2 linked regions of the Canis lupus familiaris genome follow. The protein of the gene in region 2 interacts with the protein of the main gene of each other region in a pairwise test. Links are inferred from orthologs where the notes say so. Each region holds a gene or a part of one and is shown on either strand. Other genes may lie near its edges.

Region 1 (7,582 bases), on a different chromosome or scaffold from region 2:
AGATACTACCAATAATCATACTGTGATTTTTTTTTTTTTGAGAGTGCCACCTCTCTCACACCAACTAGACACTAATGTAGTAATTGACCCATCCTGGTAAGTAATTCTGAAAATCTTCTAGCCTAGAAATGGTTCAGCATCTCAAGTCCCAGTAAAGTTAATTTTAGGTCAGACATTGTATGCCTTGCAATAATCCCATATACTTTAAAGTTGAACATTATAAATTTATACACATTTTAGGAATAAGTTATTATATACATAATCATTATCTTGCAATCTTCTGTAAATGAGTTAGTTCAAGTAAACATAAAAAACTTCACCATAAAGTTACTAAAATCTGTTCGATAGAAGACAAATTTTTGAAATACCTGAGGCATGATGCTGAATTATATAATCCCATCATTAGGTTCTAGTATATATTCTCTATTTTATTGGACTTTCAGAAATTACCAAGAACCTTCATAAGTGTTTCCAATTATGATTTTTACAGATTTGACTTCAACAAAAGATAATGGTTTAAAGCTAAATCTCTTCTTTTTCTTTATGAGCCTTGATTCTGTTTCCTTTCAAAAATAGAAAATAACATTTACCTCCTTCCTATCTGTTGCACGAAGACCACAAGAAAAAAGTTACTTGTTTGACTCTTAGGAAAGTCACAAACAGCAATTGTCTATAGAGTGAGACTAGAAGTGGAATCCATATGTAATGCCTCTGTCAGCAAAGACTTAGTAGAAGAAGGTTTATAATAAATATTCACATCTGCTTCTTTGGACACTCTAATCCATCCTAAGGATCTTTGCTGTGTCAGGTTTTGTTCTAGATGAAGAAGCCCAGTAGTTATAAAGGTTTGTAAATAGACTATATTTATCATGGTTAGCTTTACTTTTATAACTTTTTTAAAATTTTTTTTATTTTTTACTTTGATAACTTTTCTGTTTTTAAAATATTCATGACATTTTGGTGTATAATTTGTGATTAAATATTTCACTGTGACTTTTATGGCAATATCATTAAAGAATTTTTTACTATGAAACAGGCAAATTTTATTTTCACAATATATCACCTACTTAAAATCTATCAATAAGGCATCATTGATAACAATCCTATGCTGGATGTGAAAACACAATGACTTAAAGCCCAGGCTATTTAAAGTGATTGTGATTTAATGATAGTTCCCTTCATACCGAATATACCTCCTCTTGAGCAAGATACTTCACCTTTCTAAACCTCTCTTTGTTCATCCATATAATGAAGTTAATATTATTTTATCATTATATTCTTGTAAAGATTATATGCAACTATTCACATCAGGTACAAAATCAATTGACATATACTGTTTAATCAATTTTAAATGTCATTACTGGAATGATAATATGCCTTCTAAGTATGATTAGATAATCCCATAGATAGCCCTAGTATCATACTTATTTACCCCACATACTGACTTTATGTAAACGTATTTCATTAGTTTTACTTACCTCTAAATTCCCTGATAGTTTGTTACCAGACTTCTTTAATAAAAGCATTAGAATTGGGCTGCTGATATGTTTTTAACTTGAAGGAAATTATTCACTAAAAATTATACAGTATAAAAATTATGAGAATACTCTGTGCTATATTTAGCTCTTATGTAATATAAACTTAGTTTAACAGAATTTTGAATTTTAAATTAGAGTAAAAAAGCCTAAGTCATCCTTGAACTGGAGGTATTTATTTTCACTTCAACTCCAAAAAAGGTTCATAAGTGTCATAATAAATGTATATTATTATACCTAAATAAAGATTTAGCATAATTACAAGTTAAAGTATAATGCAAAATTTAAAATGTAAATTATCCATTATATAGGGACAGAGATTTTGAACCTATGCTTTGGACATCTTTTCACAAATAATTCACTTGAAAAACAAACCTGCATCGCTTCATTGCTTTCACACTCATTTTCTCAAAATTATTTATTAATCCCAAATATAAGGAGATTAGGAGGGCATTTGATAAAGTGGGTGGGACATTAGGTTTCACTTCCTCATTTTAAAATTTTACAATCTTATTGACATGTCTTAATTTTGCCTGGAATTATTTCCTATACAAATGAGTTAGCTCATATTTAATGACTGACATCTAATATGAGTCTGTTAAATTACATTTGAGACAAAACTGTGTATTTCATTGCTTATAAACTATGACTGCCTGAAATTAAACTTTGATATTCTCTCTCACTCTCTCTCTCTCCTCTCTCTTTCTTCCTCTCCCTCTCCCCCTCCCTCCCTTTCTCCCTCCCTCCCTCCCTCTTTCTCAGGTCGAGTTTTAGCTCAGGCGAGTGGCAGTGGGGTTATCCATTTGCTAGATCTTAAATCAGGGCAAATCCACAAATTGATGGGCCATGATAGTGAGGCTCACACAGTCGTGTTTTCTCATGACGGAGAGTATTTGTTTTCCGGAGGCTCTGACGGCACTGTTCGAACGTGGTCTTGATGGTCAGCATATCCCACTGCGGACGGCATTCCCTTTAAGGCTTGAAAATACCTTGGGTAGTCAGTCTCAAACCAGGAAGTATCTGGTTAAATATGCCAGCAGGTAACATTTACAATTTGCTTTAAAACATGCTTTGGACATGTATTTTAGTGCTCATACTGACACCAATAAAAAAATAAAAAAAAACACAACTTTTTGCTCATTTGTGTCTGGTTCTCTTTTTCTTCATTTTGATAAGAATTTAGAGACAGAGCATCTTTGCTAGGGGTTTGAAAGAAACAGCTTTACAATGACGCCTAATGACAGACTAGATGAATTACAGGAGATTGATTTTGAATGTTAGAGAACAAACTGCAGGAGAACAGGGCTACTTTTTTTTTTTTTTTTTAAATCGAATCCAAGCTGCAGGAAGACCTGAAGTTTAATCATATAGCATGGAGAAAGTCTTTCTGCAACAAAAGGGTCAAATAGAATCGAGGAGCGTACATGTTCACAGATTCTTTGACAATGATCATGCTTTATCTATTAATAATCATCAAGACTGCAGATGGCTTAAATCTAAATGCAATGCTCTTCCAGAACTTTCATCTCTGCAGCCCATCTAAGAATGCATTAGGTATAATTACAATGTTTTGTATTTTTTGTTGTAATTTCAATGCCAATAAGTATCTCGTGTGTAAAATGTCTTTCCCACTCCTAATGCATGCGTCGGCTGTATAAAGTGCGACTGCTTTAGAGAACACTCTAGCCTGGTCTAAAGAAGCAGCTCCGGATTTCGGATTTCACCGAGCTGGGCTCAGAAGCCAGTTGTTGGCGCTGTCCGTGGTGCTGAGGAATTCCCGGCTGCCGGCGAATGAGCTCCAAATCAGCAGTCTGCAAACTGCTCTCAGTGATGCAGAAACCCAGCTAAAGTTGCTCCTTTCCTTCACGTCCACAGTTAGTATTTTCTGGTGTGTAAGAGGGGATTCAAGCAACATATTGTGGATGATGCTGATGGTACTGCCAGCGGAGTGGGCTTTAAGCTACAGCATGCTATTGCTGTTTGTGATCCTCAGAGCCTAGCCAAATCACCTCTACTGCCGTACCAAACACTGTGTAAGTGAACTCATGTGTGGAGGAGGCGTAATCAGCCGGTAAATTTCATAGAAGGATCTGAGAAAATGCTAAAAATAAGTTCAACATGATTCTGCTACTGGGGTCTGGATTTCTACAGGACCAGCATTGCTTCTTGCTTTGAATTCTGAAGACAGGTCCAAAGCATATTTCTTATGTGTGTCTGCTGTGTTTCTCTCTGGAAGGGCGGGAGACTGCTTCTTGACTGTGTTTTGAAATGGGAGGTAGAAAGAATGGATTACCTTTAATTCGTGCCTGAAAATGTATTCTTTGGATAACTAAAGAGGAACTGCTTTCCTAAAACATACCTGATGTTTTAGTTCGTATTGGTCTATGACTCCCACCACCACCATTAACCTCCAGAGTGATTAGGTAAGTGTATCTTATGACATGAGTTATGTTTGTTTTCTCAAAGAAATAGATGCAGTTATTTTAAATCATATGTAAAAATATAGGGAGGGGGGAAAGTTTAGCTGGAAAGTGGTCCTCAGTTTAGCAGTGTTTGCTTACTTAATAAAAATCTTCAGATAAACATTTTATTTCATTTCTCTAATATTTCTTCTCTTAAATAGTGTTTTTAACTACACTAGAGCAGCTCTATTATGAAAAGGGATTTTTTAATAGCCTAAGAACTTTGTTATATTGAAAAGAAAACCTTGTTTTCTCCATGCAGATTTAAAAATGTATTTCATATAATAAAAGCATGTTTAAGGTTTATATAAAGTAGACATTATACCCCTATTTTTATCTTTAAGTTTACATTTATCACAACTTGATATATTAATGCCTACCTGTAGCTTGCAAAGAGATCAATTTCTGTCTATGTCCTTTTGAAGCAGAATGATATGTGTCTTTTATATGGCTTATCTTGCATGTATTGGCAGACACTGCTGGAATACTATAAGGAAGCACAATAGATTCCTTTCTTCCAAGATAAACTTTCTAAATATGTGAGAGATGTATAAATGCATGGTTTAATCAGTAAAATATATATTTATGCTTTTTTCAGAAGCTTCTGTTATGTTTGTGGCCTCTGTAGTAATTTAAGAGAAAAAAATGCTTTGTCAAAGGGAGCTTCCAGCTTCTCAAGTAGAATTATAGGTTTGCATTTTTTTTGTTCTGTCATGACTCATTATTTTTGACATATTTTAAAATAAATCTCTCTCTTTTATCATTACCTACCCAAAAGGAATTCTAATATGAGAGAGCAGTTTTCTCTTAAAGGAGGGCATAAATATACTACCTTCCATTTTACTATTACTTTGCATAAGATAATTTGCATATCTTACTTAAAATGCAAATATAATAGTTGATGAAGTATCCTTATGTCATCTTTATCATGTTTTTAAATGATCACCTGTATATGCTATACTGAAAAGGGATGATTTATCATTACTCATTATATTCTGAAAATATACCAACAAATATCATTTATAAATTATCTGAGAATGTCCTATATACAGTCTGAGCAACATTGGCATAAAGCCAATAGCATTTAGATAGATAAATGAACTATCCGACAACACTTTTTCTTACCTATTAGTGTCTAAAGTCACAGTTTCCCCAAAGCCTTTGTATGAGTTAGTCACCCTAAACATTTAAATAAGAGCCCACTACTAACACTCCACACCAAGCACTAACACTAAGTGAAGCTTTTAAGAGTCAATGTCACTAAATTAATCATACATATTTTCTGTGAAAGGCAACACCTCATCATTACTTTAAGGAATTTCAATAAATAGTTTTGTATTGGCATTTTTGTGCAAATTGACCAAATGCAAATATGTTTGGGATGTCAAAAAGAAAGGTATATCCTCAAGACTATGTGAATGGTATATATTTTACATTGAAGTAATTAATTCAAATAGCATTCCATAAATACTAGATTCAAATTGCCATTAAAAAAAAATCTCAGGTGCATCTTTCCTGCCCACTAGGAGCTTACTTCCTGAGTAAAATAAAGTTGTGGACAATGATACAAATAAATTTATTTTTAGTAAATCCTTTTCAATACATGGAGTTCTCTTGCACTATTATTTAAATTTTTCTCTTATTCACTGTGGAATGGTTGTACTAGTTTTCTTAATAGCTATGTTCCAAAATCCATATTTATGGTTTCTGAAACAAGAAATACATTTGAGACCACTGCTATTCTCCAGTTATGGGAGTGAAGTAGGAAGACCTTTATACTAGCTCATCTCAATTATAATTTATATTAGACTATTGGTCTCTTCTCTTTCTTTTAGAAGTAGATGTTTTCTCACTAATCTCTTAGTTTTTATACAGATAATTATATCATATACATTCTATCACTGACTAATCCAGCTTAAGGAATAATAGAGAATGTGGATTCCAACATTCTTGAGCCATCTGTAACTACTGTAATCACCTTTTGAGGCTCAGTAAAACCACTTCTACAATTTAAACAAAGCCAAACCTTGGAAATTCAGAGGGTAAATCTGAGCTTACGATTCCTAGGTGGAATAAAGGACAAATTTTAATGCATGTATTGCCAAGAATAAACTCCCCAAACTTCATAAGAAGCATAGATAGTTGCATGAACTTAGTCTATTTGAGGTCTGAGTGTCTTCCAGACAGATCCCAAATAAACAGATTAAGAACAAGGGCTTACGTAAATCCATATTCTCTCTATATATGTCAAATTCTTCTTTTTAAATATTTATTTTCAGCCTACCCCTCTTGTATTCCCATGGAAGGAGCTGAGTATATTTAATATTAGGAGCACATCCAGAAGCCTTTGAGGAGGGGGATGGCTCTTCATATTCATGAAGCTTGCATACTTCTGTTGGTCATCCTTGGATCAGTCACCTCTGCTGCCATCAGTCATGAAGACTACCCTGCTGATGAAGGTGACCAGACCTCCAGTAATGACAATCTGATCTTTGATGACTATCGAGGGAAAGGGTGTGTGGATGACAGCGGCTTTGTATACAAGTTGGGAGAACGCTTTTTCCCAGGGCATTCCAACTGTCCATGTGTCTGTGCTCTGGATGGACCTGTTTGTGACCAGCCAGAATGCCCTAAAATTCACCCAAAGTGTACTAAAGTGGAACACAATGGATGCTGCCCTGAGTGCAAAGAAGTGAAAAACTTTTGTGAATATCATGGGAAAAATTACAAAATCTTGGAGGAATTTAAGGTATGAGTTACCCTCCATATTCATTCAATACTAATCTTTCACACCATGTATTTCATAGATTACTACATTAAAATTAGAGTTGGAAAAAGTTACTTTTAAATTACCCCTTAACTTACGGTATTGTGATTTCAGTTAGCCTGCGTACCGCTGTGGTCAACAAAGAACCAACTGGCTTGTTGATAGGTGTCTTGAAGGTTTCACGATAACCTCCTCCTTCAGAAGTATTCTGGGCATGCTTAACATCTTTTATTGCCCTCAATCATTTCCTTTGTGTTATTACAAAATATGTTTTCTGAGGGAAATAATTATGTTTATAGATCATGTGTTTATTTAAAGCTAATGTTTAAATATTGTAAGATCTTTTTACGTGTGTGTGGCTTATAAGCCTGTATTGGGAGTCATTTAACTATGGTCTAGAATTCTATTTAGTATGTGGAAATGCAAGTGCTAAGGAGACACACTTCTGAGCTGTGGTCTATATATTAAGAATATGCATTGGGCCTACTTGTTATAGAGCACCATCCCCATTCTGTTCTCTGCTCATTAGATTTTTTTACTTGCAGGCCCCCAAAGAGAACTGAATTTTTGTCCTAGTTTGTTGTCAAAGGTATTAAAAAGGGGGAGGTACTATTATTCCAGCTTCCATAGTATTTCATAATCTTTCTTTTTTGCTTATGTCATATTTTCAAGTAATTTGGAGTTCATTTTTATCTCTGCTTTGAGTCTCTTTTCTCAAACAGCTAGTTGTAATTAGGATGTCCTACAAACCAGATCTGAACCCTGAGGGTATAAATTATTGTATCAGAATGTTCCCCTTAAATGTAATGGCAGTTTGT
Region 2 (7,489 bases):
GGCCCGAGGAGGGAAGAGCGGGTCAGGGGGCCCCCGGGGCTCGCGCGCCGCCCGGCCGGGCCAGCCCCCGCCCCGCGGGCCCAGCTCCGCCACCCGCCCCATCCTCCTGGTGGAAGATCCTCCGGGAAGTGGGGCTGTGCACCTCCCCACCCCCAGCGCGAGTCCGCCCCCGGGCGGGACGTCCGCGTCCGTCCAGCCAGAAGTCCAGGCATCTCTGAGCTGCTGCTGCTGCTGCTGCTGGCCGCTCCCCAACAGCCCCGCGCACGCGGGGAGGCCCGTCCTCTCTGAACAGGGCGCACGACGCGGCGGAGGCGCGAGGGGCACCGCGGGGCGGGGCGGGGCGGCCACCGCGTCCGAGGGGGAGCCAGCCGGGGCCCGGAGGCCCCGGCCTGGGCCAGGCGGGAATTTGGGCGGCGGCGGCGGCAGGCGGGGAGGCCGACCAGAGGCCGTGCCCTCGGGGCGCCCCGGGAGCAAGCCCGAGCACAGTTTCGTTGGGCGTCTTGGCTCCAAGTGGGGAGCCAAGTGGCACAAAGTTCTCACGCCCCTTGGAGGGCCCCGGCACAGGGCTAGGGCGTTCTCCCGGTTCTTTCCCGGGCCTCGAGGGCAAGGGAGGCGAGATAAAAGGCCCTTGAGGAGAGGTCGGAGTTATAATCCAAACAGGACTTTTATCGCAAAAAATCAGAAGCAAGGCCCGTAGCCGGGTTTTGCGTTTGGCATCCTCTCGGGGCGAAGGGAGCGTCTCCCCAAACCTGCGCCACCCCCGGGGGCGCGCCCCGACAGGGCGCCAGGCTCCGGCCAAGCCCCTCTCGGCCGCCTCCAGGATCCCGGGGACGCGGGGCGAGGGCGGAGGCCCAACTCCGCACCCCGGGCGCCTGGCGCTCGGGAGCCCCGCCTGCCCTCCCGACAGCCTGAGGACTCCCAGCTGCAGGCGGCCGCGGGAGGCGGCCAGGGCAGGGCTCGGAGCGGGCCCTCCAGCGGGGCCCCTCGCCGGGCCGGGCCGGGCCGGGCGCTAGGGGGAGTCGGAGAGGGCCTGGCCAGCCGCGGGCCCGCCCCACCGCCCCACCGCCCCACCGCCCCACCGCCCGCCGCCCGCCGCCGTCCCGACCCTCCCCGGCCCGCTGCCCCAGGGCCCGGCCCGGCTCCGGAGCCCTGGGCACGCGCACCTGGACTCTGGACTCCGGCAGGTTGATCTTGAGCGCCACCTCCTCGCGCATGAAGATGTCAGGGTAGCGAGTCTTGGCGAAGAGCGCCTCCAGCACGTCCAGCTGCGAGCGTGTAAAGGTGGTGCGCTCCCGCCGCTGCTTCCGCGGGGTGGCTGAGGGGACACGCGGGGGCGCCTCGGGTCAGCGGTGGCCACGCGGACCGCGCTAGACGACGCAGACAGGCCCCCGGCAGGGCTCTGTGCGAGGCCGTTGCAAAAGCAAGCCAAGCTCCAAGCGAAAGAAAACTCCCCCAGGAGGCCGAGCCTGAGAGGCCACAGGTGGGAGAAAGTGCATGTGTGCGACTGGGAACCAGTGTCGTCAAGACTCCAGAATTGCCCCCTTCCCTGCCTCTCGGAGGTTAAGAAAGGAAAAGAAGTTATACAATCCCCCTTCTTTCACCACCTCCCCCCCAACACATCCCCTGGCTGGAGGATGGGAAAGGGGTGCGCAGACACACCACCTGGAAAACGCTTTCCGAGGGAACAAGTGGAGATGAAGGAGCGGGAGCTGGGGCGGGGAGGAGGCGGCTCAAGCCTTCCACATCCACGGTGCAAAAGTTGGTGCAGACAGCGGATGTAGAGGACAATTCAATTAGGGAGGGAGAGCCCCTCTTCTTCGTCTCAGCCAGTCACTTCTCATAAGAAAAGCCTGGCCCTTCCTGTCAGGGCCTAGAGAGTGTCCAAATCTCTCTTTCAACATTGGGAGGAAAGGAATAGATTCACACACACACACACACCCCAAAAAAGCCACCCATGAGAAACGAATCCTTGGGTAAGTGGGCCCTGTGCTGGTGGTGGGACCACAAGAGACAGATTGCCCAGCTTCACTGGCCTGGCCTGCCTCATGCACCCGCCACTGCCCTGTGAGCCTGCGGCGTGCAGAGCACTGCAGGCAGACCCGCCATCCCACTCCCCGGGCCTGCTCAGACACCGAGTGTGCGCTCAAACTCAAGAGTCTGGGCGTCCCCAAGATTTGCAGGGGCTGGGGGCAGGGACTGGTGCTCACCCGGGTAGCCCACGGAAGGGTGCAGGAGGTCCATGGCTGGCCCGGCCAGGCCCAGCCCGTTCATGCCATATGGGGGTTGTTTGAGGTAAGACATCATGCTAACAGCCGGGTGGAGGCGCCCGGACGGATCCAGGGGGCCGGGGCCAGGCGCAGTGCGGGGCTCCCACTGCGCAGTCCTTCAAACTCTGCTGCGTCGGGGGGCCCGGCCTATGGAGACAGGAGACACAGGTAAACAGTGACTGGGAGCCATCTCGGTTTCCTGGTCTCGTCGGAGGCGAGCAGCCGGGGGCTGGGGAGGGCACGCAGGCCTGCGGAACTCGGAAGGGCGGTCAGCTTGGCTCTACAAGGCCTTGGCCGGAAGACCACAGCTTCTTTGAAAAGTCAGCTTTTCTGGATCGTCATCGCCTCTTCTCAGGCGTGGAATGGGTAAAAGACCCTCGTAGGGCGTCGCTAGGAGTGCGGAGAGGCTAAAAGCAGGGCCAAGCTGGAAAGTGAGGGCCTAAAACGCCCGGCGTGCAAGGTCCCAAGTCTAGGCCAAATTCTGGTCGGGTAGGAGCCGGCCTCCATACTGCAAGAGCAAACGTTTACTCGGCGCCAGTGAGGCAGGCTGCCCAGGGCACCAGAGGTTGTTTCGTTTCGTTTCAAAATGTTTTTGAAAAGCGGGATGAAAAGGTGGAGGGTCGGGGAGAGCTAAGGTGAGGCGCCGCGGGAGGCTAGCGGCACCTGGGCCTCTCCGGGTGGCAGGGCCCACTTAGGGTGCGCTCCTGCAAGGGTGTCCCCGCTGGGTCTGGGCCCCCGAGCCCACGGCCACCCTGCCAGTTGACCTCCCTGCGCCCGGCCGCGGAGAGGCCGCTCCCCGGGGAGCCCAGCACACCTGGGCCACAGTAACAGGCCCGGGCCCACGGCGGCCAGGAGACGCGGACGCGGGGGCCGCGGGGGCTCCAGGGCGCGGCGGGGGGTCAGGGGCGCCCAGGCCCCGCCGCAGGCCCCCTCCCCGACAACGCCCGCCGCCGCTGCTTTCTGCCCGCTGCTGGCTGCTGGCTGCTGGCTGCGGACAGCGCGGCCCGGGCGGAGGCCGGAGGGCGGCCCGCCCGGCGCCCCGAGGGGTCGCGGATCGGGGAGGCCCGGGCGCCGCGCCCCCGCGTGCTCCCGGCCTATCCCGCCCGCCCGGCCCGCGGCCCAGGACCCTGCCCAGGGCCGACGCGACTAGGCCTCGGCGGCGCAGCTCGGCTGACCCGGGCCGCCAGGTCGAAGCCCGGCTCCCCGCTCGCCTCCCCCCGCGGCGCCGTTCGCAGGGGCAGGGAGTGGAGCTGGGGGGCGCGGCCGCGGCCCCGGGGGACCCTGCGCTGCACCCCGCGTCGCGGGGGATTCAAAGCAGGCCCGGGGCCGGGCTGGGGAGTTCGGGGAGGGCGGGGAGAGCCGGGGCGGCCTCCCGCGCCCCTCCTCCAGGCCCCACGGTCTGGGCTGGCGGACCCCAGCTGGCAGGGAAAGGGGGGCGAAGGAGGGGCAGCCCGGGGCTCCGGGGCCCAGAGAGAGGGGGGCACGCCGGGCCGCCGCGCCTCTGCCGAGCTGCAGCGTGAGTTTCCAGAGACTTTCTTCAAACTTAGCACTTGAGCTCGCTGACTTCGGAGGAGGCGGGGGAGGGGCCGCGGGGCCGCGGCGGGGATCGGGGGTCCTCCGCGCGCCGGGAGGGGAGCCAGGCCGCCCCCCAGCCCCGCCCACCTGCCGGGGACCTGGGAAGCGGGGACCGGCTCGGGGGCCGGGGTGGGAGCAGGCGGCGCGCTCCCGGAGCCAGGGCGGCCCCGCGGCTGTCTGCTTACCTGCCCTCGGCTGCCGGGGCCGCTCACCATCTACCTCGCGCCCTCGCGCAGGCCCGCGGGGCAGCCGACCTGCAAAGACAGAGGGCGCGGGGGTTACTCGCCGGGCCGGACGGCGGGTCCCGGCTCCCCGGGGTTCTTGCTTTCCCCAACTTCCCTCCTGCCTTCTCTTTCTTCCCGGTGGCTTTGTGCGGGTCCCTCCAGGTTTCACTTTATTGCACAGACACTTTGTTTGCAAAGCCCTACGCGTCCCCGAGACACCACGTCGCCCGGGACCGCGCCGAGGGGCCGCAAGGGGTAGGCGGGTGGGGGGTGAGAGGGGCAGCGTTGGGGGGCGGCTCGAGGCTGCAGTTGCAGTCCGGGTGCAGCGCGGAGGCGGCGGGGGCCAGGGGAGTCCCGCCGAGGCACTTTGCGAACTAAATAAATCAAGCGATTTACCTTGTCGGAGTGGCTTGTCTTGCCGGGTTGTTTAGGTGATTGGAAATGTAGCCTGATGAAGATTGATCACCTTTCTACTGCCCTCCCCGGGTATGTGAACGCGAGGTGAGTGCGTAACGGGGCCGTGCTGCCAATCCCCGGCCCCGCGCGGGCTGAGTGACAGCGAGCCGGGCAATGGCAGCCCGAGCCGGGGGTTACCTCCGCGCGCCCCCGCCCTCCTCCGCCCCCTGCACCCCGCCCTCGGCGCCCGCCCGCCCCGCCCCGGGCGCGCGCTAACTCCAGGGCTGGGCTGACAAACGCGGCGCAGAGCGAGGCGAGGACAGCGGCCGCAGCGCCAGGGCCCGTCGGCGGAGGGGGGACGCGGGGCCCGAGGCCGGCCCGGGGGGGGGGGTCCCCGCCCTTCGCTCGCCCTGTCGGCGCCCGCGAGGGAGTGGCGGAGAGGAGACGCGGGGCCGGGGAACCGGTTCCCGGGCTCTCCCGCGCGCCACCCGGCTCGGCGGCGGGGCTGTGCGCTCGAGGAGTCCGGGGCCGCGGGCTGCAGGGCAGTGGGGGCCCCCCCGGCTCCCCCCGGGCGGCGCCCCGGGCCCCAGCGGCCGCCTTCCCCGCGCCGCCACCTGCGGACGGACGCGGCGGGCGCGGGGGCCGGGGGCGGCGGGGGGCGCGGACCCCGCCTGGCCCGCTCGGCCCCCGCGGGGGAGGCCCCGCCGCTCCCCCGCTGCTGCGCGTCCCCCGGGGCCCGCGCGCCCGTCCTCGGCGCGTCTCCCCGGGCGTTGGAGCCCCGCGGCTCCTGCCCCCTTAAGGCGCCCGCTCTCCTCCTGCCCCGGGAGGTCTTAACGGGAAACTTTCCCTTCCGCACCCCGCCTCCTTCGCGGGCGCCCTGCACCGGGGGCGGGGGCGGGGGCGGGGGCGGCAGACGCGGCCACAGACCCCCGGCCTCCGTCTCCTCCTCCCGCGCCGCAGAGGGAGCCTCCTCGGGGCCGTCTCCCCGGATTGTTCGTACTGGCGAAGCCCATTTCCCAGCCGAACTAACTTCTGGAGCCCGCGTACCTGCTGGACGTCTCCAGGCGCCCCCCGCCCCCACCCCCCCAAAAGGGTTTCGCCCCAACCTTGAGCCAGGCGGTTCCTCTTAGGTGGCACCTCCTTCTGAGTATTAGGCACCACTTGGGTCCCTTTCGAGGAATTCCTCCCCGGCTTCCCTAGTCCCCCCTCCCCTCCATCCCAACAGGCGGAGTGAAAAGTTTGAGCAGGAGTGAGCGCGAGGGCGAGTCCGGGAGCCGCGGGGCGCCGCGCCGTGGGAGCGCCCGCCGCCGGGCCGCGAGGTCGGGCCCCCGAGCGGACGGGGCTGGGGCGAGGAGGAGGAGGAGGAGAGGAAGGGGGCGCCCCGCAGTCAAAAGGGGCCGAGGCCGCCGCTCATCAAAGTACTTCCCCCTCCCCCCAAGCGACACTTTCCTTTGGAGCCCGAATAAAATACGGTAACAGAATATGATGGAGGGCACACTGTTTCCTTAACTGCTTCTCAAAGGACCCGGGAGATCTTCTTAGGACCTTTAATAAGGCTTTGGTCGGTTCTTTTGTTGATCTCTCAAAATCAACTCCTTCTAATTGAAGTTGGAGCTGAAAGCGAGCTAATGTTCAAAGAAAGTGGCCGCCAGACCAACGAAATTACATTTTTTTTTTGTTGGGGGGGGGGTACGATGAGGGAACATCTAATCAAAGGGGCAGAGGAGGAGGGGTGGGAGTGGGCGAGTATGAAGGAGAAAAGGAGGTTTTACAAGATCCTTCTCTGGTTCACAAAAGTCAGCGACACGGGCGCTTCTCTCCAGAACAAAGACACCGCAGCCCATTCACAAAAGGGAAAGAAAGACACACACACACACACACACACACACACACACACACACAGAGGGAGGAGAGAGAGAGAGAGAGAGAAAACAATAAAAGAACGAGAGAAAAGGGAGAAAAAAAAAAAAAACCACAGGAAAGAAAAAGCTTTAAGAGGAAAAGAAACTGCGCAGAGCGCAGCGCTGACCCGGGCGGGGACACAAGTCCTAGGTCCTCTGAGGCCCCCTGGGCGCAGCCCCCGCGACGGGCAGGCGCCTGGAGGAAGGAGTGAGGCGCACCCGCCTGCGGTTCTGGGGAGAGGCGCGGGCAGGAGGGCCCCGGGTTCGCGGGGAGGTCCCCGCGGGCGTCCCCGGCCCAGCCCGGCCCGGCCCGGCCCGGCCTGCGCGCCCCGGGCCCCGGCGCAGCCCTCCGGGCCCCGGCCGCGTGCCCCGGTCGCGGCCCCGCCACCCGTCGCGCGCCTGCCCCGTCCGGGCCCCGAGCCGCCGGCGGCTGCGGCGGGGCGGCCGTGCGCGCAGGAATGTGCCCGGCGGTCCCCAGGGCCCGCCTCGCGGGCGGCCGGCGCTCTCGCTCCAGATGCTGCCGCGGTCTCGGGGAAGTTGGGACGTATCGAGTAGCACAGGTCCCCCCCCGCGCGCCCCTCTAATGAGCATATTTATCTAATCCCAAATTGCAGGAGAATTTTCTTAATGCTCAGCCCGTAAAACCCCGGGATTAAGAAAAGAAAGAGAGGGAGAGGGAGGAGTGCAGGGAGGAAGAGGGACTGGGATGAAAGTTTCTTGCACGCGGCGCGGAGGACGGCGGCGGCCGTCGGTCGCCAGGCAAGTGTCCAGGTGGGAGACGCCGGGCCAGGAGCGGCGGCCGCAGGCGGGGAGGGCGCGTCCGCGCAGCGCCGGGCCCCGGGGCCGGGCCGGGGCGGGGGGGGGGGGCGCGCCGGGCCCCGGAGCCAGCCCCGAGGTGACCTCGAGGCCCGGCCAGGCCCGGGGGACACCTGGGACGGGGGGAGGGGTTTGGCTCCGGGGTCGCGGGATCCCGGCCAGGGGCGGAAGTTCCGCGCGCAGCCCGCCGCCCGCCGCCCGCCGCCCGCCCGCCGCGCTCCTCCGCCGCCGCCGCCGCCGCCGCGACCCCCGGGCCTTTCCCGCGGCGCGGGCTCCCGGGTTCCGGGCCTCTCTGCGCGCCGGGCTTGCG

Evidence for each region.
Region 1: the proteins of OTX1 (region 2) and VWC2L interact in binary tests that used the Homo sapiens proteins (3 or more experiments, as listed by UniProt). The two-hybrid records come from large-scale screens. The link is inferred for Canis lupus familiaris from reciprocal best matches to the Homo sapiens genes OTX1 and VWC2L.

The regions. Positions count from the first base shown.
Region 1 is NC_049258.1:21,553,338-21,560,919, forward strand, and holds the start of VWC2L (von Willebrand factor C domain-containing protein 2-like), read left to right. Parts: upstream 1-2,788; 5' UTR 2,789-3,958; intron 3,959-6,276; 5' UTR 6,277-6,356; coding exon 6,357-6,746; intron 6,747-7,582. Other genes in the region: SPAG16 (sperm-associated antigen 16 protein), read left to right, coding at 2,298-2,473.
Region 2 is NC_049231.1:64,118,096-64,125,584, reverse strand, and holds the start of OTX1 (homeobox protein OTX1), read right to left. Parts: upstream 4,575-7,489; 5' UTR 4,463-4,574; intron 4,097-4,462; 5' UTR 4,028-4,096; intron 2,817-4,027; exon of another isoform or gene 2,415-2,816; 5' UTR 2,305-2,414; coding exon 2,208-2,304; intron 1,316-2,207; coding exon 1,164-1,315; intron 1-1,163. UniProt on the Homo sapiens protein: Probably plays a role in the development of the brain and the sense organs. Can bind to the BCD target sequence (BTS): 5'-TCTAATCCC-3'.